4 linked regions of the Caenorhabditis elegans genome follow. The protein of the gene in region 1 purifies or fractionates together with the protein of each later gene. This does not show direct contact. Each region holds a gene or a part of one and is shown in the gene's direction. Other genes may lie near its edges.

Evidence for each region.
Region 2: the proteins of copz-1 (region 1) and C05D9.3 fractionate together in Caenorhabditis elegans (co-fractionation; one large-scale study listed by BioGRID). This does not show direct contact.
Region 3: the proteins of copz-1 (region 1) and gmap-2 fractionate together in Caenorhabditis elegans (co-fractionation; one large-scale study listed by BioGRID). This does not show direct contact.
Region 4: the proteins of copz-1 (region 1) and C30G7.3 fractionate together in Caenorhabditis elegans (co-fractionation; one large-scale study listed by BioGRID). This does not show direct contact.

Annotation. Positions count from the first base shown.
Region 1 is NC_003280.10:10,870,015-10,875,650, forward strand, and holds copz-1 (putative coatomer subunit zeta), read left to right. Parts: upstream 1-2,864; 5' UTR 2,865-2,897; coding exon 2,898-2,915; intron 2,916-2,978; coding exon 2,979-3,050; intron 3,051-3,108; coding exon 3,109-3,196; intron 3,197-3,246; coding exon 3,247-3,472; intron 3,473-3,526; coding exon 3,527-3,677; 3' UTR 3,678-3,782; downstream 3,783-5,636. Other genes in the region: cap-2 (F-actin-capping protein subunit beta), read left to right, coding at 1-50, 96-221, 300-401; cyn-4 (Peptidyl-prolyl cis-trans isomerase 4), read right to left, coding at 815-1,020, 1,070-1,448, 1,505-2,291, 2,338-2,458, 2,514-2,592; orc-2 (Origin recognition complex subunit 2), read left to right, coding at 3,920-4,095, 4,730-5,299, 5,355-5,454.
Region 2 is NC_003284.9:1,109,011-1,119,044, forward strand, and holds C05D9.3 (Integrin beta epidermal growth factor-like domain-containing protein), read left to right. Parts: upstream 1-2,905; coding exon 2,906-3,052; intron 3,053-3,712; coding exon 3,713-3,820; intron 3,821-3,938; coding exon 3,939-4,023; intron 4,024-4,083; coding exon 4,084-4,225; intron 4,226-4,270; coding exon 4,271-4,334; intron 4,335-5,172; coding exon 5,173-5,295; intron 5,296-5,402; coding exon 5,403-5,551; intron 5,552-6,217; coding exon 6,218-6,290; intron 6,291-6,371; coding exon 6,372-6,472; intron 6,473-6,578; coding exon 6,579-6,648; intron 6,649-7,078; coding exon 7,079-7,168; intron 7,169-7,240; coding exon 7,241-7,450; 3' UTR 7,451-7,841; downstream 7,842-10,034. Other genes in the region: C05D9.4 (uncharacterized protein), read left to right, coding at 951-1,100; C05D9.7 (uncharacterized protein), read right to left, coding at 8,337-8,524, 8,911-9,061, 9,455-9,568, 9,625-9,726.
Region 3 is NC_003284.9:12,939,369-12,946,219, reverse strand, and holds gmap-2 (GM2 Activator Protein family member), read left to right. Parts: upstream 1-2,953; 5' UTR 2,954-2,960; coding exon 2,961-3,066; intron 3,067-3,116; coding exon 3,117-3,214; intron 3,215-3,317; coding exon 3,318-3,457; intron 3,458-3,680; exon of another isoform or gene 3,681-3,762; intron 3,763-3,912; coding exon 3,913-4,012; intron 4,013-4,066; coding exon 4,067-4,183; intron 4,184-4,229; coding exon 4,230-4,306; intron 4,307-4,481; coding exon 4,482-4,668; 3' UTR 4,669-4,778; downstream 4,779-6,851. Other genes in the region: nssp-88 (Neuropeptide-Like Protein), read left to right, coding at 279-368, 449-604; gmap-3 (GM2 Activator Protein family member), read left to right, coding at 5,509-5,668, 5,712-5,833, 6,737-6,851.
Region 4 is NC_003283.11:14,939,853-14,948,188, reverse strand, and holds C30G7.3 (MADF domain-containing protein), read left to right. Parts: upstream 1-2,484; 5' UTR 2,485-2,583; coding exon 2,584-2,604; intron 2,605-2,668; coding exon 2,669-2,735; intron 2,736-4,007; coding exon 4,008-4,105; intron 4,106-4,260; coding exon 4,261-4,380; intron 4,381-4,641; coding exon 4,642-4,793; intron 4,794-5,167; coding exon 5,168-5,486; intron 5,487-5,532; coding exon 5,533-5,616; intron 5,617-5,969; coding exon 5,970-6,014; 3' UTR 6,015-6,059; downstream 6,060-8,336. Other genes in the region: C30G7.4 (Matrix-remodeling-associated protein 7), read left to right, coding at 1,067-1,405.

The DNA of each region.
Region 1 (5,636 bases):
ACAAAAGCTCCAGCGGTGTGATGAACCTCGGTGGCTCCCTTACAAGACAGGTTTTGGTTTCGAGTTGTGAATATATTTAAAAAGAAATATTATAGCATGAGATGGATGCACCAATCAACGATCAGAACACACACTTGGCTAATATGGGACGAATGATTGAGGATCAGGAGTCGAAAATGCGTCTGACGATCAATGAGATATACTTTGGAAAGACGAAGAAGGTAAGCAAAATGCAAATTTATTATATGAAAAAAGTTTCATTTTTAAAAAGTACAATTTTCGAAAAAAATATTTTCCAGGTGATGTCGGATCTCCGTTCAACAGAGAAGCAGAGTGAGCTCGAGAAGCAAGATGAGATCGTTCGCGAGTTGAACAACGCCATGGCTAACCGCGGAAACTGAGTGATCTATCTACATTTGCAGCTCAAAATCTCTCATTTTAATGCTTTATTTGCGAGTTTTGTATATTTATCTACCATAATACCAGCTTGTTTCTTCTTTTAAAACCTTTTTTCATTGCCTTTTCTCGAGTGTAAACTTTTTTTCTAGAATTATTAAAATCTCTTTTCCCACAATTTCTCCTCGCTCCAAAGTGTATGTGCTATGGCTTTTCCACAATTTATTACCAAAATGCCTTGATGTTCCTTCCGAGAAGAGCTTGAGCTTTTCCTGGACCATTTTCGTTCTAGGTGCTCGTTCGACTGTTTTGTATTTTGCAATGTAAATTATCCTCTTTAAGATTACTTTTCATTTCAATTATATTTTCGATGAAAGTATTTTATTCCTTAAATTTAAAAAAAAAGAGAGGGTCTTCATCACCACTTTGAGAAATCTCCAAGGCCTGCTCTTGCAAATTTAGTTTTCTTTGCGGCCTCCAAGGGTACATCTTCCATTTTTCCTTGTCGTTTATTCACAGCTGCGGCCGACTTCATGTACTTGCCGACTCCAGTTCCAACTGCTTCTGGTTTTGTTGCAGTTTCTTTAGCTTTTTTATTTGCTAATGAAGCTGCGTCCTTAGAAGCTGAAAATAGATATCATTAGTTTTAAAATTAGTAATAGAATTAAGAAACTTTTCTTCAAAATCTCTGCTCTCTCAGCTTGAACTTCTTTCTCAGCTTCTTCAAATGGATCCACAAATACTTCAGCTCTCATAATAACAACTGAAACCATCGGAACATCAGTTCCCTCTTCAGTTTCCAACTTTTCAATCGTCGTTAGTGTATCCTGTCCTCCAACAAGTCTCCCAAAAATTGTGTGCTTTCTGTCCAAATACTTGCACGGCCGGAATGTAATGAAGAATTGTGATCCGTTGGTGTTAGAGCCCTTATTAGCCATCGAGAGCACACCTCGAGCATCATGGGAGAAACCGGAGATGAATTCATCTGAGAATGGCTTATCCCAAATTGATTCTCCACCATGTCCTGTACCAGTTGGGTCGCCTCCTTGCAGCTGAAATTTTTAATTATTTTTTGTTATAACTTTAACTATTTTTATAATAAATTTACCATAAAGTTTTTAATTAACCGATGAAATTTGGTGTTATTATAATATCCATTCGAACAATGTGTGATGAAGTTTTCACAGGCCTTCGGAACTTTCGGCGCGAATAATTCCAGATTCAATGGCCCAAAATTTGTAACAAGCCGCACAAAAGCATTTTTCTTAACTCGGCTGTACCGAACTGTATCATTATCCAAAACAGCTGCTTTATTGCTTGTAACTGGAGCCATTACAGTGGATGTGAATCCAGCTGCGACTTTTCCTTGACTATAATGTGCTGCATTGATCTCATCGGCAGTTTCATCAGTTTCTGTGGAGCTCTTCTTTGGGACATATTCCTTATCCAATTGATCAAGAACTGATTTGCAAGCATTATTCATTCGTCGAATGTAGAATTTTGGATCTTTCATTGCATCTTTTTCTTTTTTAATCTCTTCTGACGTCTTTAAATCAAGCTTCACGTGTAGAAACTGCTCCATATTGAATTTTTCCAAATGATTTGGGTCTTGAAGATCAATTATATCAGCTCTTGTGAACGGAACATCGGTTAGAAGATCCTTGAGATGATTTCTTTTTAAATTCAATTCTTGCACGGCTTCATGAGAATAGACGTTTCCGGAAGTAGCGATGGCCAGAATATGACTGTGGTCCGTGAATGTTCTGAATGTAACTGGGCATCGGAACTTTCCATCTTCTCCTTTATCGAATTTCAAGTGGATTAGATCCTTGGCAACCAACGGTTTTCCTGTACACGGGTTTTTGCCATGCTTCTTCAAGTAAGGAACGATAGCACTGAAAATTTTTTAATAAAAAGTAAAAAAAATAAACAGAAATTTACGTTAAATCGAAAATTTCTCCTGATCTTGCGCAAACTGGGTCTTCAAACGGTAGAAGTGACAGCGAGCAATGGTTGATGGGTAACCTTTTGAACTGTGCTCTTTGGAGTCTTGTTCCAGTATCTGAAATATGAAATTAAATCTTGTTTTTATTTATAACTCGTGTTTAAATAAAAACCATCTTTATGTCCTCCAATCGATTTCCATTCAGAAGTGGTCAGATAGAGTTTATCTTTCTGATGTTGCTTTTTTCCCATTTTATCTGAAAATAATACAAATAAATACTAGTTACATTTATGTAGTTATTAAGCTTAATTAAAATGCCGATTGTTAAAAATTGCGAAAACAAATCGGCTCGTAAATCTACACGAAAACCTAGGCCGGCGGCCGCCAGCCACCTCGGGTCTCGCCACGATCACATGTCGATTTACGCGCTCAATTTCATTGACTATTGACGTGGATTATCTTGTTTCTCAATGTTTTTCCTCCATTTAAATTGTTTTTCAGAGATAAATTTTTAATTTTATAGGTAATATTAGCAAAAGAGAGGATTTGCAATAAGATGGCAGACTTTGACACTGTAAGTTTCATTTGCAGCTTATTATTGAAGTTTTTTTTTTTTAACTAAAAAGCGAAATTTCAGAATCCAACTTCTCTGTACAGTATCAAAGGAATTGTGATTCTTGATCAGGATGGAAACCGTGTTCTTGCCAAGGTTTGTCGTTTATTTCACAATTACCATACAAAAAACTCGAAAAAATATCGATTTTCAGTACTACGACCGTACAACCTTTGGAACTGTCAAGGAGCAAAAAGCTTTCGAGAAAAGTCTCTTCTCGAAAACTTCCCGCAACACTTCAGGTTTGGCTGATTTTTTTTTGATGAAAACAATAAAAATTAAACATTTTAAGCCGATATCCTGCTTCTCGACGGAGTGACTTGCTTGTACCGCTCGAACGTTGATCTGTACTTCTACGTGCTCGGATCGACCCGCGAGAATGAGCTTTTCCTCGACGCAACTCTCACCTGTCTCTACGATGCTGTGTCTGTCGTTCTTCGCAAAAACGTCGAGAAGAAGGCTCTCATCGATTCCATGGACACTATCATGCTGATTATTGACGAAATCTGTGATGAAGGGTTATTTTTTTTTATTTCTAAAAGTATTCAACTGATTTAAAATAATTATTACAGAATTATCATGGAAACTGACGCCCAGGCTGTCGTCCAAAGAACCGCTCTCAAATCCGACGAAGTCTCATTCTCCGATCAATCCGTATCACAAATCGGCTTCTCGTTCATGAAATCTGCCAACGAGCAGTTCAAATGGTCTCTTCTCAAGTAAATGGAATTCTATAAATTATTTAATTTAAAATGTGATATTTATAATCTCTCCAATACTCTTTTGTGAATTAAAATGAATAAACCTCGGATAAAATGGTGTTTTCATTGTAAAAATTGTTGATTTTGTGCTGTTTTTGTTGAGTTTTTGGTTCGTTTTCTTAACGCCTAACTATATTTTCAGTTTAAAGCTTAACATTTCCTGCATGAATCTAAATATCTATTTTTCAATTTTAATTTCAGAAAATGCCACGGCCAAAAATTTTGAAACGAGCAACTGTCCAGCCCAGTGCCGCCGTTCCTGTGAAAAAATCGACTCCAGAAAAAGAAGGATCCAGACAGAAAAAGACGAATGGAAAAGAGAATGCTTCTAGAAATTTGCAATCAAATTTAGAAGAAGATTTGGAACAACTGGGCTTCGAGTATGTATCTATTATCCAGATGAATTCTTGAGCAAAACCGGGTCTCGACACGGCAATTTTTGTTGAAAACAAAACGGGGGTGCGTCTATAAGGAGTGCTGTATTATCACAATATGTGTTCTTAAAGGCGCACAGATCTATTCAGGCGGGTCTCTGCGCGGAAAACAGTATCGTAGTATTTTCTTTTTCTTTAAATTTTTCCGGTTTTTTAATAGAATAATAGAAGGAGAACTAAATACAAAAAACGGAGTAATTTCTTGAAAAATGAAAGTAAAAAACTACCATAAAATTTAAAAGTTTTTCGCGCGCCGAGACTCATCTGAATGATTCGGTGCGCCTTTAATAATGGTAGGCCAAAATTTCGTTGCGGAATTTCCATCGATTTTTCATTGTTTTTTGTTAAAATTTTTTTTAAATAAACAAAAAACTAGGATAATTAAAAGCGCATGAATTTTAACGAACAATCGATAAAAATTCCACAGTTTGAAACTACAGTACTCTTTAAAGGCGCACACCCGTTTGTAATTCAAAAAAAATTGTCGTGCCGAGACCGGGAATTTTGGCGCAAAAATTAGAAAATCTTCCATCTAGCTAAAAATAAGTACATTTTCGAAGCAAATCAATCATTTTTCCAGGGATGAAACTGTATCAATGGCTCAATCAGCAATCGAAAATTACTTTATGCAAGGAAAATCGGCGTCAGAACGAATGAATAATGCGAAATCCCGTCGTGGAAGACGTGCTGGAAATGGAAATACTGAAGAAATTGAGGAAGACGATGAGATCAGTAATGCTATCACTGATTTCACAAAATGTGATCTCCCTGGACTTCGAAATTATATTACCAAAAAAGATAACACGGAATTCGAAAAACGATTGGAGCATCTCGCGGATAATGATTTCGGAAAATGGAAGCTTTACCTAGCAGCTGGATTTAATATTCTTTTGCACGGTGTCGGTTCGAAGCGTGATGTTCTCACAGAATTTGAGAATGAGCTATCCGATTATACATATATGAGAGTGGATGCACGGAAAGATGGGCTCAATGTAAAAGTTCTTCTTGGAGCTATCAATGAGAATATGAAGCTGAATTGTAATGTGAAGAGAGGCCAATCTACGATTAGTTGGGCTCGATCTATTCGCAGAAAAATGAATAGCCAACAGTTGATTCTTATCATTGATAATATTGAAGCTCCTGATTGGAGGTGAGGGGAATTCGCTTTTATTTATGTATAAAAAATTAATTTTAATTAATTTCAGAAGTGATCAAGAAGCATTTTGCGAACTTCTTGAGAATCGGGATTCGGTGAAATTGATTGCTACAGTTGATCACATTTACTCGACGTTCATCTGGAATTCGGTGGGTATCTAAAATTTTAATTTTCGAAAAACAGAAAATTATATTTTTTTGTTATTTAAAATTATTTTTTTCTGTAGAAATTTATATATTTTAGTATGTTTTTTGTTCATAAATATAATAAAAATTTGACAGAGAGAAAAATAAGAGAAAATAAGAAAATCTTAAAAAAATCGAATTAATAT
Region 2 (10,034 bases), on another chromosome or scaffold:
GGCTTTCCGTGCACTATATGTTGTAATACTTTGTTGAAGACCCCCTGTGTACGTTGGGTACACCAGTTGGGGAATGAGATAGACAGTGATTGATTACTTGATGCTTTGTGGTTTGTCGGGCGGGGATTGAGTCAGTAGATCCAAAGAGGAGAAAACAAATATTGTTGCTCGGGTACATGAAATTAGCAACATAGTTTCATGGTGTATCGACATGAATTGAATTTTTTTTTTAAACTTGCTAACTGAAATTTTCTAAAAATGCTTTTGCCTTTAGTTTTGTAATTGAAAAAAAACTGATATGTATTGTTAAAACTCGCAAGGGTCACCGTTGAGCAAATTTATAAGCTGGTGATTTTTCTGTCTAGAAATGCAATAAATCTTTTATTTTGAAAATAAAAATAAATAGAAAATATTATGGTTTTTTTAAGGCGAGACCTATGTACCCAAATTTGTATGTACCTAAATTTGATTTTTTTTTTCAAACCAAAATATAAACTGCAATTAAATGAAATTGATCAGTGTAAATTTTATTAATTAGTACATATAGTACAGTATAGTGTATAATATAATATGCTATAAGATAGTATAGTATAAGTTAAATGTGCTTTAAGTTTCAAATCAAATAGATTTCAAAATTGTATTCACCTAAAGTCTAACCTCTGTTTTGAAATATTTCAAAAGTGAAAATTTTTCCACTGTGAAATTCAGTGGCAATGATTCTTTAGTAATGCAAATTTGTTAGAAACAGATATACAGTTTTTTTTTATGAAAAAAATATTTACTCGTTTTCAGGTCTTTTTGGAATTGCTATGCTGTATAGAAACACTCCTAAATTTTCAAGTAGAAATTGTAAAAGAAATTTCAAATTAACTGTTCCACGTTGCAACTAGAGCTCTCTAGAAAAAATCCTTTACACTATAAATTGGAAATAACTCTAAAATACTTTTCAGAAATCTTCGAAATCTCTGAACCAAGTTCATATCAACCTGGCAAAGCGAAAACAGTGGAAACGAAACAAGGCGTGGTGTACTCATTGTGAGTCATACTGGAAGATGAAGATTAATTCGAAACAGTTGAAGTCTAGATACCCGTGCTGTTGAATTATTTTGAAATATTTTTTTATTTTAAATAAATGCCTATTTTCCGCGTGAAATTATAATTTTTACTGCAAAACGACAACCTGTGCTCATTTCTTGGATTTATACTGAAAATTTGAGTTTCAGGTTGTGCTTGAACTTTGTAGATTTTATCAACATTTAAACATCCAAACTTCTGGAAAGCCCAGTTGGTCAGTTTTATTGGCGTTTTAATTACTGTAAATTGATACTTGATAGATGCGCAGACAATTCAACTATAAAAATATTTCGAAGACATTTCTCACAAGTTTCTTACAAGTACACCAATTTGTAAATGTAGTTGTCTTCAGGAAACCCCATCAAATCCAGGATACACATATAATTTGCTCTCCGAGCACTGACCTTTTCTCCCGATAACTATACAACTTGCTCCTCCCCCTTGCAAACTCTCAGAAGTTGCCCGCCGCGGTGCAAAAAAAACAACAACAACCTTCGATATAATATCAATTCTCTCCTCTTCTCGCACATTTTATAATCCGCCGAAACTCGGAAACACACAGTTTTTATGAGTAGTGGGGGGATTTGGGACTTTAGGTCACATAACAGCTGCTCTTTTATACACATTCCGATGCTCTTTTTTCGAAGGAACTGACTTTTTTTTGGCGAATGAAATTTGTATCAAAACATTTGATATAGTGAAGATACTAAACATTTTTTGAAGTTTCAAAGTTCCGTCTTCAAAACAAAAAACAAAGCAAAAAAAAAGTTCAGTTGGTTTTGGGTGTGCACCTAGTCTCAACGCCATATGACAGAATGTAGCGTCTGCTGCTGCTGGCAGTTACGGCTCTGGCACGCCAGATGCCTACGCCTGTTGTGTTTCATCTCATACCTCTGTACTCGAGGTTTTACCCCCCTCCTACCCCCACTGTTTATTACTTTGCTCGACATGTGCTGTTCTCAAGTTATTTGGCATCCCTTAGCATAACCCACCTCCTCACGAACTTTTTTTTTACTTTTTTTTTCCCCATTTAGTTAACTTTATTGTTTAGTTTTTTCAAAAGTTGTTATCTGATTTTTCATGTTTTTCACTTCATTCCTTTATTCCGTTTAAAAATTCTAGCTTGTGAAATTTTCATGATTCCACCTAACACCTCAAAACGTATACCAACTCGTTGAATTCTTAATTTTCATATTTAACTCCAAATTGAAAGAGTTTTCTCACTTCCAGAAATTGCTAAAAATCTCAGTTCCATATTGATTTTACGCGATTTCTAGAATTAGAGCAACTTTCTGAATACAACTTTCATAACTTTCGTTATCCTTTTTTTAGAGGCTTAAACCTATTTTAACGTTATAATGTAACTGTTTAGTTTGTAAATAATGTCTACGTAAATTTATAATTTGTATTTTTTGTTGTCTGGTTTTGAAATATCAAACCCCAAATGTTAGATTTGAGAAAGCCCGTTTAATTTTGAATTTTTCTATTGTGAGTACTTTTTCAGTTCTTTAATTTTTCATTTGAATCCCCAAAAAACTCAATTACTGGGCTTGAATTCATCTAGAATCTCCACATTTTTTCGAAAACACCGTAATTTTCTGGTAAAGTTGACCCAATTTCGATAACTTTTTTTCAGATGAAAATGAAAATTGAGCCAAAAAAAAACCCTACTACTCCCGCCCTTTCTATATTGCTCTGAAACCGAGAACATTCTGGAAATCTGGTTAATTTTACAGTCCCAAATTTAATTTTTTTACTTCAAAAACCATGTTATTTTTAATATGCACAATTTCAAGTCCACCATCTCTTTTTTTTCAGAAATCATCACAAAATGAAGTCCCGGATTTTTTTTATAACATTACTGACAATAGTTGCCGCTCAAGAATCCGCAGATCAGTTATGCAGTAGTTTCGATGCCCAGCAGAGCTGTGGACAGTGTATCAAAGCACATGCAGAGTGTGCATGGTGTATTGATCCCGTATGTTTACTTTAAAGTGCAGGGGTTTTGAGAGGGGGTACTAAAAAGTTGGACGTCTTAGATTTCTGACCTTTTTGTAAAATTTGATATCTAGCTAGTTACTTTGAGTTAGTTCAAAAGATTTTCCAACTAAAGAATTATTTAAAATCGTTTTCTATTTGTATAGTTCATTCCTTTTAACTGCAAATTTTCAAAAATTTTAAAACTGGGTTTAAATTTAAATTTAAATTTTATTTTTATTAATTTTAAATTTTAATTTTAAAGCGCCACTCTACATGCACCTGAAAAATTGTAGAATATCACATTACAAATGTTATCTTAGTTTGTAATTATTTGGAAAAAACCGAAGAATTAAATTATAGGTGCTTTATGATGCTTTATGATGCTTACAATAATCGTGCAGTTACAAATTCAGAAAAATTATAAGTGCATATGCACGTGGTGTCAGGCTGTCCTATTATGGTTTGATCTACAAAACAAGCGGGAATTTTTTGTCAAAACAACTGTTACGTCAGCAAGCTCTTAGCCATGCGAAATCAGTTGAGAAGTCTGCGTCTTTTCTCTTGCATTTTTTGTAGATCTATGTAGATCAAACCAAAATGGGACACTCTGACACCACGTGCATATGTGAATACTTTTGTTTCGCAAAAAAACTTTCAGCACTCTTCCCTTACAAACCGATGCCAGCTGAAATCCAAGTTTACCAATGAGACATGCACGCCGCACTTGGTGTATTCTCCACAAACCGCTCAGGTCAAAATTCAACAAGTAAGTGTTACAGTGGTATAGATCCTCGCTGTTTAACCTTTAAAATGTTACAATTTTTGAAAGTAAAACAGCGAGGAGGCATACCCATTGGAGCCTAATTTTCCAACTTTTTCTCCAGAACTTACCACTTGAAACCAAACAGCATGATGGTAAAACCATTGTTCGACAACAGCCACAAGCGGTTTCCGTCCGTCTAATGCCATGTAAGACTTGCGTTTTATTTTTTAAATACGTAACATTTTCGATAATTTGCAACTTTGTAGCTCACTCCGCCACCGTTTCTTTCAAGTACCTGCATCAAACTGACCCAAGCAGACGGAGCACCGAACCCGAGACTATGGAAATTCAGACTTCTGATGTTAAAGATACTCCACTGCAATTGAAATTTTTCATTGTCTGTGATGGGTAGGTGAAGATTTCGAAAAACAATTTTTATAGGAATCATTTCAGAGAGTTGAAGGAGACCAAGTCGTGCCGTGTGCAGAATAATCAAATCGTTGAATTTAAGATTGAAGTGAGTCTTTTTTTGTTGAAAATTTTGTTTGATCTCCAAAACTGGCAAAAAAAAGTTGTGGATTGCTCGTCACTGATATGGAATCTGCCTCGATTTTTCGAAAACATAAATTTCTCCTAAAAATTGAATTTTTTATCAAAATCTGAAGGCAGTGACCTAGGCAGGTGCCTCTTTTTGAATTATTGGTCGTATGTTTTCAATTTTGATGGTAAACTTGTGAAAAAATGGGGACAGCGGTTTTTTGACATGCTAAATCCGAATATAAGGTTCTATGGTAATCATTTAGTTTTCCAATATTACCAAATTTGAGAGGGGTTACCATAGCTGCAAGGCAAATTAAATTTAACAAAGGGTCGCCCATCACTTGGTTTTTCAAATTTTAATTTTAAAAAGCCCCGCACGTGTTTTCAGCTTGACCATTCGGTGTTATTTGTGCAAACACCGTCACGCGCAAATGTAGACATTTTTGCACGTGCGGTTGTGAAATTCCTCTTGGCGAATTCAAATATTTTTCCCGCCTTTTTTGAAAATTTTCGAGGCGTTGGTCTAGCTGAATAAACGTGTCCTGTGAAACACAATAAAAAAGGGCATACCTTATAGACACACCCCTAGTAACCAAATTTGCTATTCAGGTACGCTAGCAGAGACCAAAATCTGCTACTGAAAAAAGCAAAAAAGTCGCTAACCAACAAGACAAGTAAGCAAAAAGTACAGAGAGCTGATCGACACTAACCATGGTTCTAATAATTTTTTTTCTGACCAAAAGTGCTACGCCTAGACAAGCTACAAATTTTAAATATTGATCCACGTTTTATTTCCGAAATTTCAAAATTTTCAGGTTCTCGTCAACTCGTGTTCCAGTACCGGCGATATTACACTATCAGTAGGTATTCTTAGACAACGCACAATTGCTGGCCTCTACGTCACCACGATTTGCGGGTGTGAATGCGAAAAGCATCCGGTAAGATGATCCCAGCCACTTAGCACTTTTTACGAAATTTGAAACTTTTCTCTTTTGTTTCCTAATCACTGGCAATCATCAAAAAAGAATAATATTTTTTTTCGCAGGAAATCAATTCTCGATTGTGCCATCAAAACGGACATCTCGTCTGCGGACAATGTGTTTGTGATCAGTCACGTGGTGGGGATAAATGTGAATGTCCGCTTGCTTCGCATGGAGTTTCCAAGGCTTCTGAATTGGAGGACAAGTGCAGATTGTAAGATTTTTGAAATTACAGAGCGTGAGAAACTAAAGTTCTCAATAATACAGTCAACATTAGATGTTTTTAGCAAAGACTAGTCTGCCAAATTTGACTTTTTTTTGAATTAGGGAAATACATAAAGTTGCTGAGAATTACACTGACAATATTTACACTAAATGCAATAACCATATTGAGAGAGCACGTGGTGTCAGAGTGTCTCATTTCGGTTTGATTTACGTAGATCTACAAAAAAATACGGGAATTGAGACGCAGAGTTCTCAACTGATTTCGAATGGCTAAGATCGTGTTGACGTCACCTGTTTGGGCAACAAATTCTTGCATTTTTTGTAGATCGAACCGTAATGGTACAGATCAGAAACTGATCAAACTGTAATCCTTTGAACTCTACTTGCAAATAAATGTTTCCTGGCAAAACAATGTCAAGCTGGGTGATTTGTATCGTTGAACTCGGGGCAGCAAAAATGACGAGTTCTGACCATATTTTGATAACCGAACTACCAAAGTTAGGTTGTTGTATTATATACCAATGACGACCTGTTTGATCCTTTGTGCTAAGGTAGCCTTGCTTAGCCTTATAGTTTCGGAGTTCTGGAACTCTATATCGGGGACAAAAACCTTCAGAAGTAGAGTCCTCTCAAAACCAATCGAGTATTTTTTCAGCAATTCATCTTCCCCAGTATGCAGTGCATCTGGAAAATGCAAGTGTGGACAATGCCAATGCAACAAACCTACTGTAAGTGGTGTTACCCTCATAAAAATAACTATACAAAATTTTGTGTTGTTTTGAAATTTAATATCTTGTTATACATCATAGGTGACCGGCAAGTTTTGTCAATGCGACAACGACAGCTGCCCGTTGGCGGTCAATGGAAAAGTGTGCTCTGGAAACGGAGTGTGCGACTGCGGAGTTTGCAAGTAAGTGGTCGTAGTAATAATAACATTTGAGTGAACAAAAAATAGAACAATGAAATTCGTATATGTTACATCACAATCAGCTTTACAAATTCGTACTTTTTGCCAGATGCGAGATGGGATGGGAACGTGATGATTGCTCGTGCTCGACGGCATCCAACAATTGTGTGGACAATGGGGTAGGTGGTTGGGGGTCTGAAAATGTGAAGGCCAGGGTGCATGCATGGAAACTAGTTTATTAGTATGTCACCTTATTTGTCTTTAAAAGAATAAACTAGCTTGATATTGCCTGTGAATTTGAGTTTTCTGGAAAAGTGCAAATTGATACTGCATGTTGTTCAAAAGCTTGGAAAAACATCTCAAAAATATTTCTAATTAATCATCCAGCAGTGTATAAATTGTAATTCATTAATAGATAAGAAAATGGCTGCAAGTCTAACAATATATATTTTGTATTGTGAAAACTTTTTGACCTTAACATTCTTAAATTTATTTTTTCTAGGCGGTGTTTTTTTTCTGGGATACTTTGCATATTCAAAATTCTATAACACAGGTCCTCTTTGCATTGCATGAATTCACTTTAAACCTCATTCTTTTTACATTTTGAAGGAACTGTGCTCGAATAATGGGCGGTGTGAATGCAATCGTTGTGTTTGTAATATGGGGAAAACTGGGGCCTTCTGTGGATCTGACGAAAAGGTGAACTTTGTAGAGCTAGATAACGTCTTCTAATTGTACGGCTCAAAATCACAATGAATTTAACATTTTCAGACACCAGCCCCAGAGGAGAAGGATAAGCCAGAATCGGTGCCGGAGGAGCCAGAAGCCACTGAAAAACCAGACGACATGCCGTCTGACAGTGATCTTGAGAAGGAACTGGATGAGTCATCGAGTGCGAAGGAAGAGCAAACTTCCTCCAGTGGAGTTGTGTCGCGAGTTTGTGTATTGTTAACCTTTTTTCTTCTTGTTCTGAATTTTTAAGTAAAGCAATGAGCTCGATTTTCGATTTCTAGATTGCTCTTTCATCCTCTCTCGGTTTTCGAAAGTTGAACCCCACTTCTTTACACATGTTTCTAATGATGCATGTGTATTATAGGTACTTAATTTAATTTGGAAATTGCTGTAAAAAAGTGTACCGCTTTTTAAATGTGATTTTCAGGTTTAAGAGAAACCTTTTTTAGCCTGAAAAGTTAAAATAATTTAGTTTTACTTTCAAAATGCGTGCCTATAATACACAAGTTTTTTTTACCTTATATCTACATTTCTCAATATGGTTTATTTCTAAACAGTCAACTTGTCATACTTGGTAAAATCATCCGTTAATTTATTCAGAGTATCAAATTGTACTTGATATGCTTTTGGATAAAAGTTTTATTTTCTCTCAGTTTGAATTCAAAACATATGGAAAAGGGGGGTGTTTTTATTTTTATTTTTGTAGGTGTTAGAGGTGAAGCTTGCAATTTGTAAATTGCAAAAAAAATTCTGGAACTTCAAACCAATAAAAAAATAAATCTTCGTTTTTCAGTAAATTTAAACTCTGAGATTTAGGCACTATAAAAATTTCAGAAGCAAAACTCAACTCTGAATATCTGAAAATTGAGCCCGAAATATTTTCAGATACAGATAGATAGGTTTTTTCAGAAACGGATATTTTCATATTTTTCCTCGTATTTTTCTCCTTTTTGGCGATCTTCAAACATACTCTGCTAAAATATTATATTATGAAATTTATTGGAAGAAAAAATAATACATTTATCAGACCAGTATTTGACAATGTGACGGAAAGCATTAGAATTAATATAATATGAATTATTATTTCGAGATGCTCAAAATATTACACCAGAATTCAAATATTACTCCTGGTCCCTTACGCACAATAAAACTCGTCTCCAGCAAACCGTGCCTGGGACGTGCCAACGTGTTGCTGATAACGTTTGTACCGAACTTGGTCAGCGATTGACATTGTGCAGTGGAATGCCACACGGCAGACGTAGACGGAGACTGAGAGGAATGTTAGTGAGAGGCACCAGCCGACAATGCACAATTGGAACGTGGCTGGAAATAAAGTTTACTTGAATACTAGAAAAATTTACCATGTGAAATGGAACTGCTTTGCATTCTTCTTTTTTATCAAATAAAGTGTTGCCTTTGCACTTCATTTAAAAAATTTAGGTTATGGTGCATCGATAAGTCCAGTGTTTGAGCTCGATTGAAAATAATTGAAATTTAGTGATTTACTTGTGCTCCTAAACTCCTAAACGTTGACAGTGTATTTCTGCTTGCTTTGGGTTTACGAAAAACTGGCCAATTGACATGATACTTCTTATTTATTTTATAATGATTTAGTGGGAAATTACTTCTTGATTTTTTGATATTTTTATGTGCGAATCAAAATTTAGATTTAAGTACAGTTTCCGATCAAGTTTTCAACAATCACTTACCATCTACCAAATCCAGCTTGAAATGTGTAGAAACAAGTTGTGCACCCATTTTTGTGCACTGCAGGAAAAACATGAAGAGCTCACTTTCCGGCTTGATAAGCGCATAGGTAAAAGCCGTCAAGAAGACGGCACTGACAAATGTTTCAAGAGTCTGAAAACGGAAATTGGTTGCAGAATTGCTTTTAAAATACATTGACGTATGAATGTTCGTAACCCCTCGTGGGAACGATTTGAGCCGCTTTCACGTGGCGTCAGGCTGTCCCATTACGAATTAATCTACAAAACATGCGGGAAATTTTCCCCAAAAATGAGAAGTTTGCGTCTACATTCCAGAAATTCTCGTAGATCTACGTAGATCAAACCGAAATGGGATAGCCTGACACCACGTGTGATTTATTATTAATCCACGAAATAAAATTTTGAGCCACTAAAGACAAGACCAGCAGAAAATATTTTCAAAGTGATCCGAGTACGCGACTTGTACAAGTTTTATGAAAACAATTTTGAGTCGCTACGAACACTTTTAATTTCTTCAAAAACTCACTCTTAAAACAACGAATGGAATGCAGAAAAATGGCTGCTGGCGGATGATACCAATGTGCATCATGAGACTTGTCAGCACAATTCCACCCATTACTGCCGAGACGTATAGGATAAACTGAAAACATTTACGGGTTAAAATTTCACATTGGAATCAAAATAACTATGCTTTACCTTGTTTCTGATCCCATTGTAATACATAAAGGCATTGAAAGCAATCACAATAATGGCAAGGGCACAGTAGATGAAGGAAATACAATGGGCAGATGAGGACTCCTAAATTTCTGATTATTAAGTTGAAAGTTCAATCAGGGAATTTGCTCCGAACTTTGAATACCACAAATTTATAACCAGATCAACATCATATGAGTGACCTTCAAAGGGAAGGGAAAAAATGACATAAAATTGATTAATTCTCTTGCGGTTTTAATTATAGGCGCGTCGGCCTTTTATGTACCCAAATTAACAAATAAGAGCAGATGGGTAGAAAAAGGAAACATCAATTTTTTATGTCTTCTCTTGGTATTCGGCAGAAAATTTGTAAGAAACCAACATGCAAAGTAGCAAAGTAACGGAAAAAACCG
Region 3 (6,851 bases), on another chromosome or scaffold:
CTTCTTCACTTCTGTGTTTTTTTTGAATTTACATAAAGCGTTTTTTTTTTTGGAACAACACTATTCTATTGATACACTTGAGAAATCCTAATGTTTTGAAGTTTTGGCCACGAGTTTAATGCAGGTGGAATTGTTAATTTTTGGCAAAGATAGAATCACGAGGAAATTTGTCATCCCTAAATAATTTTAAAACTTATAGTTAGCAGGTGCAATCAAATGTAGTGTGTTTTCAATAAACCACTGACTCATTTCATTTATTTCAATTTAATTTAATTCAGGACATCCCTCTGATTCCTGAAGATTTCATGGTGATGTGGCCGGTGGAATCATCCGAGAAAACGATCAAAGATGAGAATAAATTCGAAACGGTAAACAAATTACTTGGAATCCACTCCTTCCTGTTCACTTATGATTCTTGTTTCCAAGATTTCATCGAATCAGATTGCAGACCACAATATTGGCCAAGACTTCAAGACAGTCGTTGAATCAACATGAGACTGAAAATGAGGAAGTGTTTTCTGATGACAATCTGAAAATGGAGCGGGTGGCGAAAGCAGGAATCCGGCCAAAACTTCAACTCAGCAGCCGGCTTTGGGGGCGTTGAAGGTGCAGAAATGAGATAGTTGATACAATTTTTCTTTCCTCCAGTCCTTGTACTTTTGGTGAAATAAAGCTGTTTTGTTAGAGCTGTGATACAAAGTTTCCATCATACAAACAGTCTATTTTCTGTCAACCGAGTATAGCTTAAAAAATTAAAGCGTTTCAACCACGTCCCGATTATTTAAATTTATAATCGAGCAGTTACTAATAAAGGAAATTCAAGTCTGGTTACACCTTTTTTTGTTAAATTTTTTTTTGAAATGTCAGAAGAGATGCTCAACAGTGGGATACTTTTTTATAATTGCAAGACGTGCCTAATCCTTTATATAAGGTTTTGCATTGGACTTCCTTAAACTTAACACTTGTTACATCTTGGAGTTTTCTAAAATATTGTCAAGGTTATTTTGTCATAAAACTATTTTAGTGCACAATTATTCCATTGATTAAAATGCATGTTCAGTAGGTTGATGTGTGCCCAAATTTATTTCTACGCCTTTAAATGAACCGTGAAATAAACCTTTTAATTTGTAATAAAATTTTGCTAATCAGTTTTGATCAAATAAAATTTAGTCCAGTTTTAAGCTCTAGTATGTATACCTGGCCATTCACAAATTCAGAATTTGGTACAACTATCACAAGCGCAGTATTAAAACTGGTTTTGTCTAAAACACTGTACATAAAGTGACATTCAGATGTGTATGTGCGTGATTTCCTGCAAAAATTGTATACCTGAATGTAACGCAAGCAGACCAGCTAACACTTTGCATAGCGCATCGTTTCCTGATCGAATAATAATGATTCACACCTATTATCTATTATCCGCGGTTAGTTGGTGAAAGGAGATGAGGGGATTCTTGGCAAATTCTCGTTTCCGACCAATTCGCAGTCTTTATCGTCTTCCACAATTTCTTAGTATTATTCGTTTTTTGCCCTGCGTGTCGGCCCACCATTCATTTGCCCTTCCACAATATCTTTCGTCACACTTTTCTGTCCAAGCGTGAACCTTTGCTATTCAAGTGCACTCAAGCGAATTGCCAGCATTACAGAAAGTGTATAAAATGATTATAAAGACGGGTGTGAAAACTGTGTATTCGCAAGATGAAAAAGTGTGGACTTTTGGTTAAAGCTAGTGGAAATTTTTATTTATGTTTTAATCGTTCAATGACTCATTTTTCTTATCAAGGGGTTTTTGCAAGATTATATAAGTTTATGATTTTTTTTCATTAAAGTTCATTTTTTAAATTGCGCAAACATGATTGATACGTGAAAAAATGAAAAGATATATTTTTTAATTTTGCTTTACAAAATTGTATTTCGGGGGGCGGATAGCTCAGTCGGTAGTGGTGACCGCTAGAAATCTGGAGGTCATAAGTTCAAGTCCGGCCTCACCCCCTAGGTTCACCCAGCCACTATTGGGCTTAATGGTATTATGCCTATCATAATTTGTAGTCCACAAAAAAATCTTTGTTTGCCAAACTTCATTAGCTCGAATGCTCTTGCGACCACTGTTAAAACATTAATTCGTCCAAAGTAGTTTAAGAGTTATTCTATATGCCGGCGGTATTATTTTTCCACTAAGTTTCCCAAATATTCTATAGTTGAGAACCGAAGTATTATAAAATTACAAATAACTGTTGCGTTATTTCTGACATTGTTTCTGTAGTTTTTGAGATTTTTTGCCCACAAACTCCATCATTCATTTAGGTCTCCATTCTTACAAACAACATTTTGAAGTCGATTTGAAAAGATAGTCACATGAACACTGATTTTGTAAAGCGTCACAAATATTTCCCTTCTCAAACACACCTAGTACACACCATTAAAAGTTCCACATTAGTTCTTGTTCTCGTAACTAGTTTTCTTTTGTGAAATTCCAGAGGAATCAAATTTTATGACAAGTTGAAAAATTAGGGCGGACGACGACGAGGTGAACACTAAATCAAAGACCATTGGAATCTTCAATGTTCTCCTGGTCAGTCATCGTAGAACATTTCGCTTCCTTATTTCAGTTTATTTTTCCTTGTGGTCTCTGCCATAGTCCCGTTTTGATTGAAAGTCTAGGTCCTTCAACAATGCATATCATACCCGATTCTCTTTTTTCATGCTTAGACAGATCTCTAAGCTTACGTAACAGGTTCCTTCCATTCGTATCGTTTTGCCCCATTTGACGATTTTTCTTTTTCACAGCTACTTTCTTGCCGCATTTGCATTAAATGCTAAACTAAGATTGATTCAAATATTAGATATGAAGATGTTTCGATGATGGAACTATTTGAATTCAGTGACTTCTGTGACTTTTTCTATACTGTTCTTGTAACTTTCTGTAAATTTTTACATAAACGGTATCTTACAGATTTGTCATGATTACAAACTGCCTGATATTACTGGCAATTTTGTTTGGATTTGCATCGACTCAGTATCTGAACTTAAACCTTCATAGACATCAAAGTTGTGCATGGAGAAAAAGTAATTATTAAACTATCGTTGTCACTTTTTTAATACTTTACGTGTTACAGGTTCTCACTGGAACCGCAAAATCGAGTTCCAGGGTGGCCACTCGGATAGTGGAGCGCTACTCAAGTCAACTGAACAGAAAGGGTGCTATGCAATTAGTGTGAGTTAGCCCCCAAGAGTGTTTTATTTTGATTTTTGAAAAACAATAACAATGCTTGATGATTGACGTTATTACAATAATAATAATAATTCATTTTCTTTAGGGAAAAGTGAAAATTCATGAGGATGTGAGCGACGAGTTGTTGATCTACTTGTCCGTGTCGACCACTGGTGACACTCAAAGACCACCGGAAGTGTGCAGGGATGCCAATCCGGACACTGGTTGTGGAGGTGTTGGATCATGGTAATGAGTTATTGACAGAAATATTAGGGAAATCATCAAGATTCTAGAGCTAGAAAAAACATTAGGAAATGAAAAAAAAGCCTTTTGAGCAGTTAATGATAGATGAACAGCTGTGAAGTACCTAAAAGTTTTAAGTTAGAGGTCACTCTTAAAACAAAAAGTATAACTATAACAATTTCATACATAAGTGTTTAACCTGCAAAATAAATTAAAAAAAAAGAACTGAAGAGAGTGGGATTCGAACCCACGCCCCCGAAGGGACTGGTGCCTTAAACCAGCGCCTTAGACCGCTCGGCCATCTCTCCACGTACTACGCTATCATAATTTGTCGTTATGTTATAACTTCAAACAACAAGATTTAGTTGTATTTCGATGATTACGAAATTTAAATTTTCGAACTTGAAAATTTGTTGTTTTGTTGTTTCCAAAAAATGACGTAAACACTGCTGTTTCAGTCTCTACTGCCGGCCATGTGATTCTTTGGACTCTCTCACGAAAATTCTCGGAGCTCAACTTGTTGTGAACGGCAAACCAGCAGGATGTGAGCCATTAAAAGTGAGCAACATCGTTAAAAAAAATTTACGATGCAGTCAATAACACTATTTTTAGAAAGGAGAATATGATAATGTTGAACTCCGTTTCTGCCTTCCGAAATTAGCTGCATTGTTGGAATGGCAGGGAATTTCAGAAGACGCGTTAGATCACATTTTAGCTGCTACTACTCAGGTTTGACAAAATGAAAATAATTATTGAAAGAAAAAGTGTGTTTCAGGAAGGAAATGGTCCACCAAAGCTTAGTCTATTTGTGACCGTTTATTTGTTCGACAAGGATATTAAACCTCTTCTAGTGTAAGTTCTGAAAATTAAATAGGTTTTAGCCAGATTTACAGTTTCATATACCATCTAACAACCATTCACTATATTCGAGACATATATGTCACATACATTACAGCTATATGAAAAATAACACTATTTTTCACGAGTAGAAAATTTTTAAACAAATAGAAAAATGAAATAATTTCAGCTCTCAACGAAAACTAGAATCTCGCATCCGTGAACTTCGCAAACTTGGCGCTGATGAGCCAGTTGACTCTCAAACTTATTGGAATCTGCCATTCAATCAAATTATCAAAAAGCAGTCAGTTTTCGTTGGATGTCACAAACTTTACGGAACCATTAGCTTGAGCGACATTCAAGCCAAGAAGAAATAAGAAAATATATTTGGATGAACAACGATGATAACTTCATGTTTATTCATTTCGTTTATGCGGGTTCATTTTTTGTGAATTATGAAATAAACACAATAAAAATTATGAATTAGATAAGCAAATTGATCTTGACATTTAATAAATAACAGTCAATCTTTATGGTGATACTGTGCTCAAAGACTCGTTGTGTAAAAAACAACAGTTTTGTCTGGTATCCTTTTGAGTATGTTTTTTTACATTTCTTCAATATGCATTTTATTCAATACAACCTCAATATTTTGCTAGCCTCAAAATGTTTCTGGGATTTTGTTCAAAGTATTCTGTATACCCTTTACTTCTAGAATTTTTATTCTTGTGTATACAACAGTACACGAATTCTACAGAAAAATCTTGCAAAGTTACTAATAGTAAGGAAAACTGGAACTATATATGTTGTTGGTTAGAGATCATAAAGTGATATTTATGTAACACATCTGTAAAACTTTATTGCATTTGTTCTCACTACTAGTTGAAGGACATAAGGCTTTTGATTCATTATTTTCCTTTTTTTTTACTTTTTTCCCCTTTCCTTTTCTTTTAATCTCTTCATCTTTTCAGAATCTCATAACCTTCATGACCTCGAAACGCCATCCGACAATCATTTCACATTGAGGTAAAAGTAACACGAAAAAGAAAGAAAAAACGAGAAAAGTGGTTTTGATGGCTGTCAGACTTTTATTACACATTTGTACAATTCATATCTATATTCCCCTTTCACCCCCACCGTCACTGTAAACTATTCTAAAATCCAGCTGAAAAGGGGTGTGAAAGAAGGGCACGTCCTCGTCGCTTACTTCATAAGCCATGACACCTTCATTTGCGCATCGGTTTCAGTCGCAGATGTTGGTCGTTTTCTTAGCTTCATCGTGTCTTTTCGTTTCCATTTCCAACGCGTTGGAAAACGTTGAGTTGGGAAAAGATCTGAGTGTAACTCTTGAACTCATCAAACATCAACCATGCAAAAGTAGGTTTACGAGATTTTAAACCAAAGCTTATTTGGTTTTCAGGTGGTAAATGGACAAAGAAGTTAGAATTCGAGTCTGGAAATGATAGGAGAGGCCCGAAACTTGAACCACAAGCCGATAAGCCAAACTGTTTTACTATCGGAGGCCAAGTAGAAGTTCTAGAGGTAAAATATTGTGCTTTTTGTTTTGTTAATATTCCGTGTCTTGAAGGAGGACTAACGGTTTGGATGATTTTGAACGTTCAAACCCAAAATGAGCTCAAATAAACGAGTTTCGTAAGGAAACTTCTGATAAATTTTTCAAAATTTTTTTATGGCGGTTCAAAATTTTGAAAAAAAAATACACTGATTTTAGCTAAAATCTCGATTTTTGGCAACTTTTCCGTGTCGCAGCGGGGGACGTAGTTGACTTTTTTGGAATCATCGCCCTTTATTGCATATTTTGGTAGTTTATCTCATCCAATTTCATTGATTAAGGCACATTTAAAGCCGACAGGTAACCAATTTTGATGATTTTTGGTTACCTATCGGGTTTAAATCAATGAAATGTGATGATAAAAAATTACCAAAAGATGCAGGAGGATAATTCCAAAAAAGACAACTTCGGACCGCTGCGACACGGAAAAGTGGCCGAAAATTGAGATTTTAGCGAAAATCAGTGTATTTTTTTTCAAAATTTATTCATTCCAGCCCAATTCGGATTTATACGTTCAAAATCGTCCGAACCGTTAGTCCGCCTTTAAGACCGTGTTTTTAAGAACATCAACACAATCTGTATCTTTAAATGTAGTCTGTACAATTTAAAAATCACTAAATTATACCTTACTGAATTATTATTGGGCAAATTGAATTTTTTTATGCCAACGTGACAACGTGACAACATTTTAAATCAATATCATTCAAAACTTAATGTTTTTTTTCAGTATTTGTGTAGCGTATCAAAAGTTTAAAAATTATCTTACCCTGAGAAATAAAGAATTCATCACAACTTCTTATTACTCTCTAAGTATATACTTTGAATGAACAATAAAGCTACATAAAAAAATAAATTGAAACTCTCTATTTCAGGACTTTGGCGGAGATTTCTCCATTTATCTTGAGCTGAAGAACACTGCCAAAAAAAATACTGTCCCAGAGAAATGTGTTCGACAACCTGAAAACGGATGTGGAGGATTTGGGTCTT
Region 4 (8,336 bases), on another chromosome or scaffold:
AACATTTCAAATACGATTTCTGTCATTTTACGTGCCAACTATCAGATAAATGAAAAATAACGTGACTTTTCAGATATGACCCATGTCATTTTGCAGGGATTATAGTGTAATCGTTCTGTGTTTTTTGTATGATATTTGTGGGCTGAGTTTGAATTCCAGTTTTAGAAAATTGAGATATTTCAGGAGTTGAGATGTTTAGGCACTTCATAAAAAGAAATCACGACAGATAATCTTGTTTCAAGACAATGCCGAATGTTAAAAAGCTAAAATGAATGTAGTGAGATGTGGAAGAATAACCAACTATTGTTAACTTTCCGATATGTTTCCAGAGGTTTTTCTATTATATTTTGTCATTCTCCCACAATTGAAATCGTTTGAAAGCTGTTCTCAATTGATCCAATTCCAGTGTATTTTTTTTCAATGTTTCAGGCGCCATACTACAATGCAAACCAGTGGTGTGCGACAAGTCTCAAAATTTGCCGAGCTCAGCAAAATCGGCAAATTTGCCGTGCTTAACAAACTCCAAAAATTTGATATTTTTTGATGTTCCTTGGAGCAACAAAACTACTGAATTCTGTAATTTCGAAATTTGCCGAGCTCGGCAAATTTGCCGCACAACCCTGATGCATGCAGCATTCTTTTCTTTTTTTTCACATTCTCAGTAACGTTCCCCACATCACAATGAAGCAATGCACCTACGAAACAATTAAAGAATTTTTTCACTTGCAGGTAGCCCTCAAAAGTACGAAAAAAAAATTGAAACCAATGTTTTTCTCGCCAAATAATTTGTTTCATCGGGAAAATAATAACGAAAAAGTTTCACAATTAAATATTATTAGTCACATTTCCAAAATAAATCATCATCAATTGTTTGCGATAACAAAAAAAACTTCGGAATTCTTAACACCTAGAAGCAGCCGTCTGAAAAGTACAAAAGCTATTATATTTATGACAAAAATGACATTTAAAATTGATTCTATATTTTCAGAAGCTGTAAGTTTTTTCCAATTCAAAAACATATAGGATACAAATGATTTCTACTTCAAAGAATTCCAGAACTTCAAACATGGCAGTTTTTGATTTCATCATTGGTTTCGGCTTCATGTTAATTGCTCTTTTTCTCATTTTCCTATACCTCAACAAGGATGGGCACATTTCAATAGCTATCAAAAAAATATTAACGAATTCAAGACAAAAGGCAAAAGATTTGAAGGATGGTTCAACATCCGACCCATCAAAAACGACACCAGCCGCACCTGCATGCTCTCCAGTATCAAATGAGGAAATAACAATACCCTCAGATGTTCAATCGGTGAATAATACTTTATCAGAAATTTCATTGTCAGAAGCTGAAGTTCAAGTTGATGAAGAGAATCCAAATATTGTGAAAATCCATGTAATTTGATGACTGTTCGCATTTCTAGTCATCATTTTGAAATTTAATAAACCAATGCGACATCGTAGTTTACTTCACCGTTGTCAATTTTTGTAGATGTACTGAAAATGTGTTTGAAATTTGTCCAATTGCAAAAATAATAATTAAAAGCTGACAATAATCATCTATTGTTCACAATGACGAAGAAATTCTAAATGCTTCTTACATAGAAGCCGACTGATAAATATAGAACTATAATATTTATGACATGATAGCATCCAAAATTGTTTCTATATTATAAAAAGCTGTAAGTTTTTTGTTCAATTTGATGGGATGGCAGCAAAAAAGTTACAATTCGACGTTAAACCATCACAACCCAGATTGACCTCGCAATGAAATATTTGACCAACTGTAGATTAAAAAACATATACCGTATTATTTCTATTAGTCTTGCACCAACAATGCTTAATTCCGAGATTTTTAGAAGATAATTTAAGTTATTTTCGTAGCATTAAGCCATATTGGTTATCATGATATCTGACTCAAATTTGGTGTCTTGGCTCTATTCTCGTGCAAACACCAAAGTCGCGTTAAAATATTTCATTAACCTAGGGAACTGCCACAAAAGTTGCACACTTTATTATCCACGACAATTGATTTCTTGGCTTTTGTGAATAAAAAATAATGTTTTTCGTAAATGAAAAATTTCAAATGATGGATTTTCCGGAAATTAATAAAAAATTATCAATTTTTCAAAAATTAAAATTTCATATTATCGACTTTTCAAAAAAAAAAAATTAAAACTTCACATTATCGATTTGTCAAAAATTGAAAATGGCAGATTACCGATCATTCAAAATTTATCGATTTTTACAGGAAGATGGAAAGTATGTAACTCTGAAATCTAATGTCGTGGAAAATGGTTTCTACTCGGGAGTCTTATAGATTTTTTCTCATTAATTTATTGATTTTTGTATTGTCATGATCTCAATTTGAAAAAAAGAAAGAAAATGTAATAATTATCGATATATTTTTTTAAATAAAACTGTTTTTGAAATTAAATCTTCACGTGGCCTTTTCGAATTTTGTTATTCTCAACAATAATCGATAATCCGTGAGATTGATAAAATCGATAAATTTCAATTATTTCTCACTTTTATACTCGTCAATACCACATTTATTACTCGCCGCTTATTCACATTACTCCAATGAACTGCAGACAATCAAAGGTGAGGTGCACGAGAAATGCGCCAGCATTTGCTTGCGCAATTCACGATACCGTATATTTTTCAGAAAAATTCTCACATCTGGGACAACGTCTGTACCGCCGGCACTCGTCGTAATCCGTATTACGTCTGCTGTGAGTTTGAGAGTCGGGAAAAACTGATAGTTTTTGTTGTTTCTGTTCAAAAATCGATAATTTCTCAAAAATAAATATTTTGAAAATTTAGAAAATATCGATTTTTCCGTAAAATCTATATTTTACACAAAAATTTTCACCTACGTGTAATTATCGATTTTTGTTCCAGAAAAGAGTTAAAATTAAAATTTTCGAATTATTGATTTTTTTGTTGGTAAAAATAGCATACAGGGTGGGCCAAAAGTATGGTAACACATGAAGCGCTCTTTTACATGAGCTTTTCGCGCGACTGCCACGTCATACGTACATTCTTCTATCGAATACTGATAGCTGAATAAATTTCCTTCAATTTGACTCAAAATTTGTAATGTTTCCCAATAAGGTGCGATCTTTATCACCTCGACAATTTGGCGAACCCTTTCGAAAAAACGGTAATTTGGCACGCGGCACTTCCCACACAAACACACCTCCCACGCACGCCAATAATTTTCAGATGTATGATTTTTATGTTAAATTGAAAGTTAAAGAAGTGAAGAAGCGTTTTTAATTGTTTTTGTAGCATATAAAAATGTTCTGTGTCGACACTGGCGCCTAGCAAGAACCTTTGTATATTTCATGAATTCAACTTTGCGAAATTTACTCAGTTTTTTTGGTTTCGCAAGGCGTAACGACCCACAAAATCATCCGAGCTCAATTTTCTAAAAAAATTCTGGAAAGTCAGGTCAAAACGTCTCGAAAAATACTAAAATAAATTTATCTGAATACTGCTACTCGCCGCTCACATCCATCTTTCTGGCGACTATGCCATTCAAGACTTAACCTACTGCCGCAGTCCATGACAGAAATACCGTGATAGAAAATATTTTGATTTTTGTTTTTAAAGAATCTCTAGACCAAGGGCATTCTTTGAACTATAAAAACTTGTAAGACACTTTATGGATTCCTCAAGAAAAATGTAGAAATCCCGCAGAATGCCGACTTGCGTGCCATAAAGATCGTGATCTCAAAAGTTCTGAAGGCCTGCAGCAATGCGGATGGATATATTTTGAAAATTCAAAACGTTCATCTGGTCAGTATTTTATGGAGAACAAAACTTGTACAAATTGATGTAATAACTCTCTCCACTAGTAAAGTTATAGAGCTGCAAACGTGTTACCATACTTTTGGCCCACCCTGTAATTCCTAAAAATCAATACTTCGAAAATATTTTTGATTTTAAGTAAAAAGCGATATTTTTTCACGTTCTTTTTTTTGATTATCGATTTTATGCAGACGGCACCACCGGCTCCACCACCTCATCACTGTCAATTTTGGAATTTTCACGTGAACAAATCACCGTAGTGTCGCCACGTGTCAAATGTCCCCTCAAGGTGAGAATATTGGAAAAAAATCATTTCAAAATTTGATCGCTGTACAAAATGCCATTTTTAACAACTATCTATCGTCAGATTCCGACCGGAAATGTATTGATTTTTTGATTTTTTGGACTAAAAATCAATAAATCAATATATATTTTTATTTTCAGCAAAAAATTGTGGAAAAACCGAAGAAAAGGAATGTATATGTCACGAACTGGGATCGTGCAGCGGCGGAGCAACCAAAGGCACTTGCCACGTGGATTTATCAGCCATTTGATAAGAGAAAGGTGGGTCGAGAATTGCGCCAAGGCTCTATCATTTTGTTGGCTTGTTGGACATCCTATCAGAAAGACATACCTGAAATTTCAGTTCGATAAGACTATTTTGAGCAGTGTTACCAGGCCTTGAAGTTTCTTATAAGATTAATCGACCGCGTCGCAGGTTGTTTGCTTTGACTAGTTGTAACTTTGCTCCCAGTGGATTGATTTGAAATTTTTTGTGTGGCTAGCTGTGTATTATTACGTACATTCAATTCAAAAAATTTTCAGTACAACAACCGCACGGCATCCGACGCCTTCGACGCCTACCAACACCGCCTGAAACTGAAAAAACTGCCCGAGACAAAGCAAAAAGTCACAAAAACCACCAAAAGACATGTGACTATCAATGAAGCGGCGACTCAAGTCATTCAGGATGTGTGGTGAGTTTGCACTAGAAACGCGCCAAGGCACGAGTTTTGCGTTAAGGCGTTAACAGTAGTATACATACATACATCAGAAATCAATACAGAGAAATCAATACACAGCTCTACGAGCATTTTGAACAATTTTGAACAGTTACGTAGATTTTGAACAGTTACGTAGATTTGAAGTATTGAGAAAAACCGCGACGCAGACTAAAGTTTTGAACCACTGTAACTTTGCTCGCACTGTTCGAAGACTTTCAAAATTTTTTGTGAACGCTCCCAATGTAATTGTTAATATGATGACGTCATCATTGCTCCTTGGCGTATTTTTCGTGCCATGACGCAATTCTTGATCATTAAATTTGAAGCCCTAATTTTCCTAGTTTCAGCCACCTCCAACCGAAATCCTACCAAAAAATTCGCATATCAAATTGTCGAAATGATGAGGTGAAAATCGATAGTTTCTCTGCTAACCGAGTTCCAAAAGACGATGATATTGACGACCTGAACGTGAATGTTCCAGTTGAAGATGATGATGACGTGGAACTCGATGACGTCATCCTTGCTCAAAATCCGGCGTTTTACGGCACAATTGAAGCGGAAAAGTGTGCAGAACGAGTTGCCGCACATCTATCGATGGCCTGTGAAAACATGGAACGTTTGCAATTTGTGACGGAAGCCGTGTATCCACAGAGCGCCGCTCATTTGGTGAGTGATTGCCTAATATGGAAAATAAATATTGATTTTTTTGCAGAAGAAGCTTCAAGAAATCGATGATGACGTCAAGGATTTCAATTGTCAGATGAGACAGCGTCGTGTCAAAGCTTCGAATCCAGGAGTACGTACTTTTAAGTTTCTGTGTGAAATTTCATGGCTGGACCGCGACGCGACACGAAACTCATGAAATTTTTGAAACTTTAGCGTTTTAATTCAGAACATCAAATTAGATGAAAAAAATGAACCACAGAAAATTTCAGAGCTGTAGCCACATTTTGAGCAAAGTTAAGGTGGTTTGAAAGTCCTAGCGACACACGACGCATGTCAAAACTTGCAGTTACCCTAACTTTGCTCTTAGTAGACACAGAGCTCTGAAATTTTTTGAGCGTGCTCCCCATGCAATAGAAAACTTGTTTGCGCAATTTTGGTGCCTTGCAAACACCATAACCGTGTAAAAATATTTTATTATTCCAGGGAACAGTCACAAAAGTTGCACACTTCATTATCCACGGCAATTGATTTTCCTCGATTTTTGCGAATAAAGAATTTATTGATTGGATTTCCAATTTTTTAAACCTTTTTTGTAGTCACCTAACAACCCGGATTTTCAAGTAGATTTTTAACAATTTTCAGGAAAGCGAATAACTGGAAATAATGCCTAAGTGCCTAAGACTAAGCCTAAAAATGAGCCTAAGGCTAAACCAAAAAAAATCCTAAGCCTAAGCCCTGTGACATAAGCCGGCAAAGTGAAGCAAAACGGCTTGTTTTTTGCGCTGTTATGAGCTTCATTCTTATTTGTTAGACCTTGTGTGTCCCCAAGCCAAGCTATTTCGTCGACATGATGATAAAAATTGGTTTTTGATTTAAACGAATTTTTTGACGCCATACTTATTTATTCGAGAAAAAATAAGCATATATAAAATAGGAAATTCAACAGAGAGTCAAACAAATTAAACGCTTTTTCAAACTGAACTTTCAGGAAAAATAGCAATACGTTTTATCTGAAAAGGGTTGTTTGCTATTATATTGTTTTGTTGCAGAGAACTTATTAATAATATTTATTTTTAAAAAAACCATGTTTTTAAAATTGAAACCAGATACCAAAATAAAAAAAAAGAGAAATATAAGCATAATGAAAAGTTAGGAGAATTTCAGCAGTTTCTAGAAGGATTTGTGGAAGTCCATGTGCTGACTGAACCGACGTTTTGGTCGACTTGAATCCCCACTTGCTGGCCTGAAGTCTCCGGCGATTCCTCAGAATTGTTTGATTTATTATCGTGTTTTTTGAAGCTCACGAAACCGAGAAAAGTTAGACAAGCTATGAGTAAAGGGCCGCCAACTAGAATGAGAACGGTAATGATCACCACTAACAGAAATATATCTGAGGCGTCCATTTTTTGGAGAATTCGAAGAAGTGACGAAACAACAAGACTGCCTGCTCTTTTGTACTTTTTTGAAAGTAGTTGATATTGACAAAATGAAATTAGTACGCGTTGTAGTAAACATCTCTGTTGATTCACTGAACGTTGTGATGTTGAAAATGAATCTGTAAATGTCATATATGGAAAGAGTTGTGTTAAAAAAAATTTAAAAAGAAACCATTTTTCATTTTGAAGCCGCCTATCTACCAAGAGGAAAATCAAAAAACATGCAGGTAAAGCAAATATAGAGACAAAAGTGTGCGCCCAGTTTTCGGACGGTGGTTTTGCGACACGCGGAACTGCGATTTATGCTCTTTTCGGTATTAATATTCACGTGCAGCTGGTAAGAAAATAAGATTGTCCCGGTTCTTTGCAGATCCTAAGTTTCTAGGTTTATGCGACTGCAACAGAAGTGGACAGATAAAAATCATCTCAGTACGCCGAAGTAGGTTGCCTTGGATTCAGACATTTCTATACCTGAATGAAATTTTAAAATGTCTTTTAAAACATTGTCAAGTCTTCCCTGACTACTTTACTTCTTGCTATCTTTGCGGTCAATTTTGCTGTGAATTCTCATAAAATTGAAAGTTTATTGAACCGAATTTTTTAAATCCCATCACAAATAATACAATTAAAAACACAATAATTCAATTATAGTCGGTACTCAGCTTGGTAAGCCTCAACAGTGTATATAGTATTCCTTAATCAGGAGAACGCCATGACCATTGTGAAGATGAATGTTACAATGAAAATTATTATAGCGAGAATAAAAACCACATGCAAATATGTAGCAGAATCCATTTCTTCCTGGTGAACTTTTGTTTTCTTGAAGTTCTTTTGTATGAATTCTCTGTTGAGGAGTTGATGCAATATTTGAAATTTCAGCAAACACATGTACTTGTTGAAGATGAAAACATGATGCATGGTATGAGAAAAAGCAATTTCAGTGTTTTAGAGACTTGGTTTCTAGGAAGATGCAAAGTTTTTGACTGCATTTGTCTCGTTTCGGAGGTTTCGTTCCTAGATACAATTACAATCAAACTTAAATTTTGTGAGTGTAACGTCAATGCGCGAAATTCCAGAAATTGACAGAAAACAATCTACGAAAACTATGTATTTTTACAAAAAAATTTGAAATTTTTTTATGAGAACAATTTCAATCAAGAACTATTGATTTTTTTTGAAGCAATAATCCGTTTTCTGTGATATAAATCTAAAAGGCCAAATAGAAATAGTCCTGCATAGTGGATAATCTGAACTTGATACGACGATCTTTATTGTAAAATGACAATTAATCTTTGAACTTTTCAATCAAAAATAGAACTACACGTTTTTTCAACAAAACATTAGTTGAGATATATATTTTATCACATTTTTAAATAGCTAAACAATTGTGATTTGTTCAAAAAAAAATTGATAA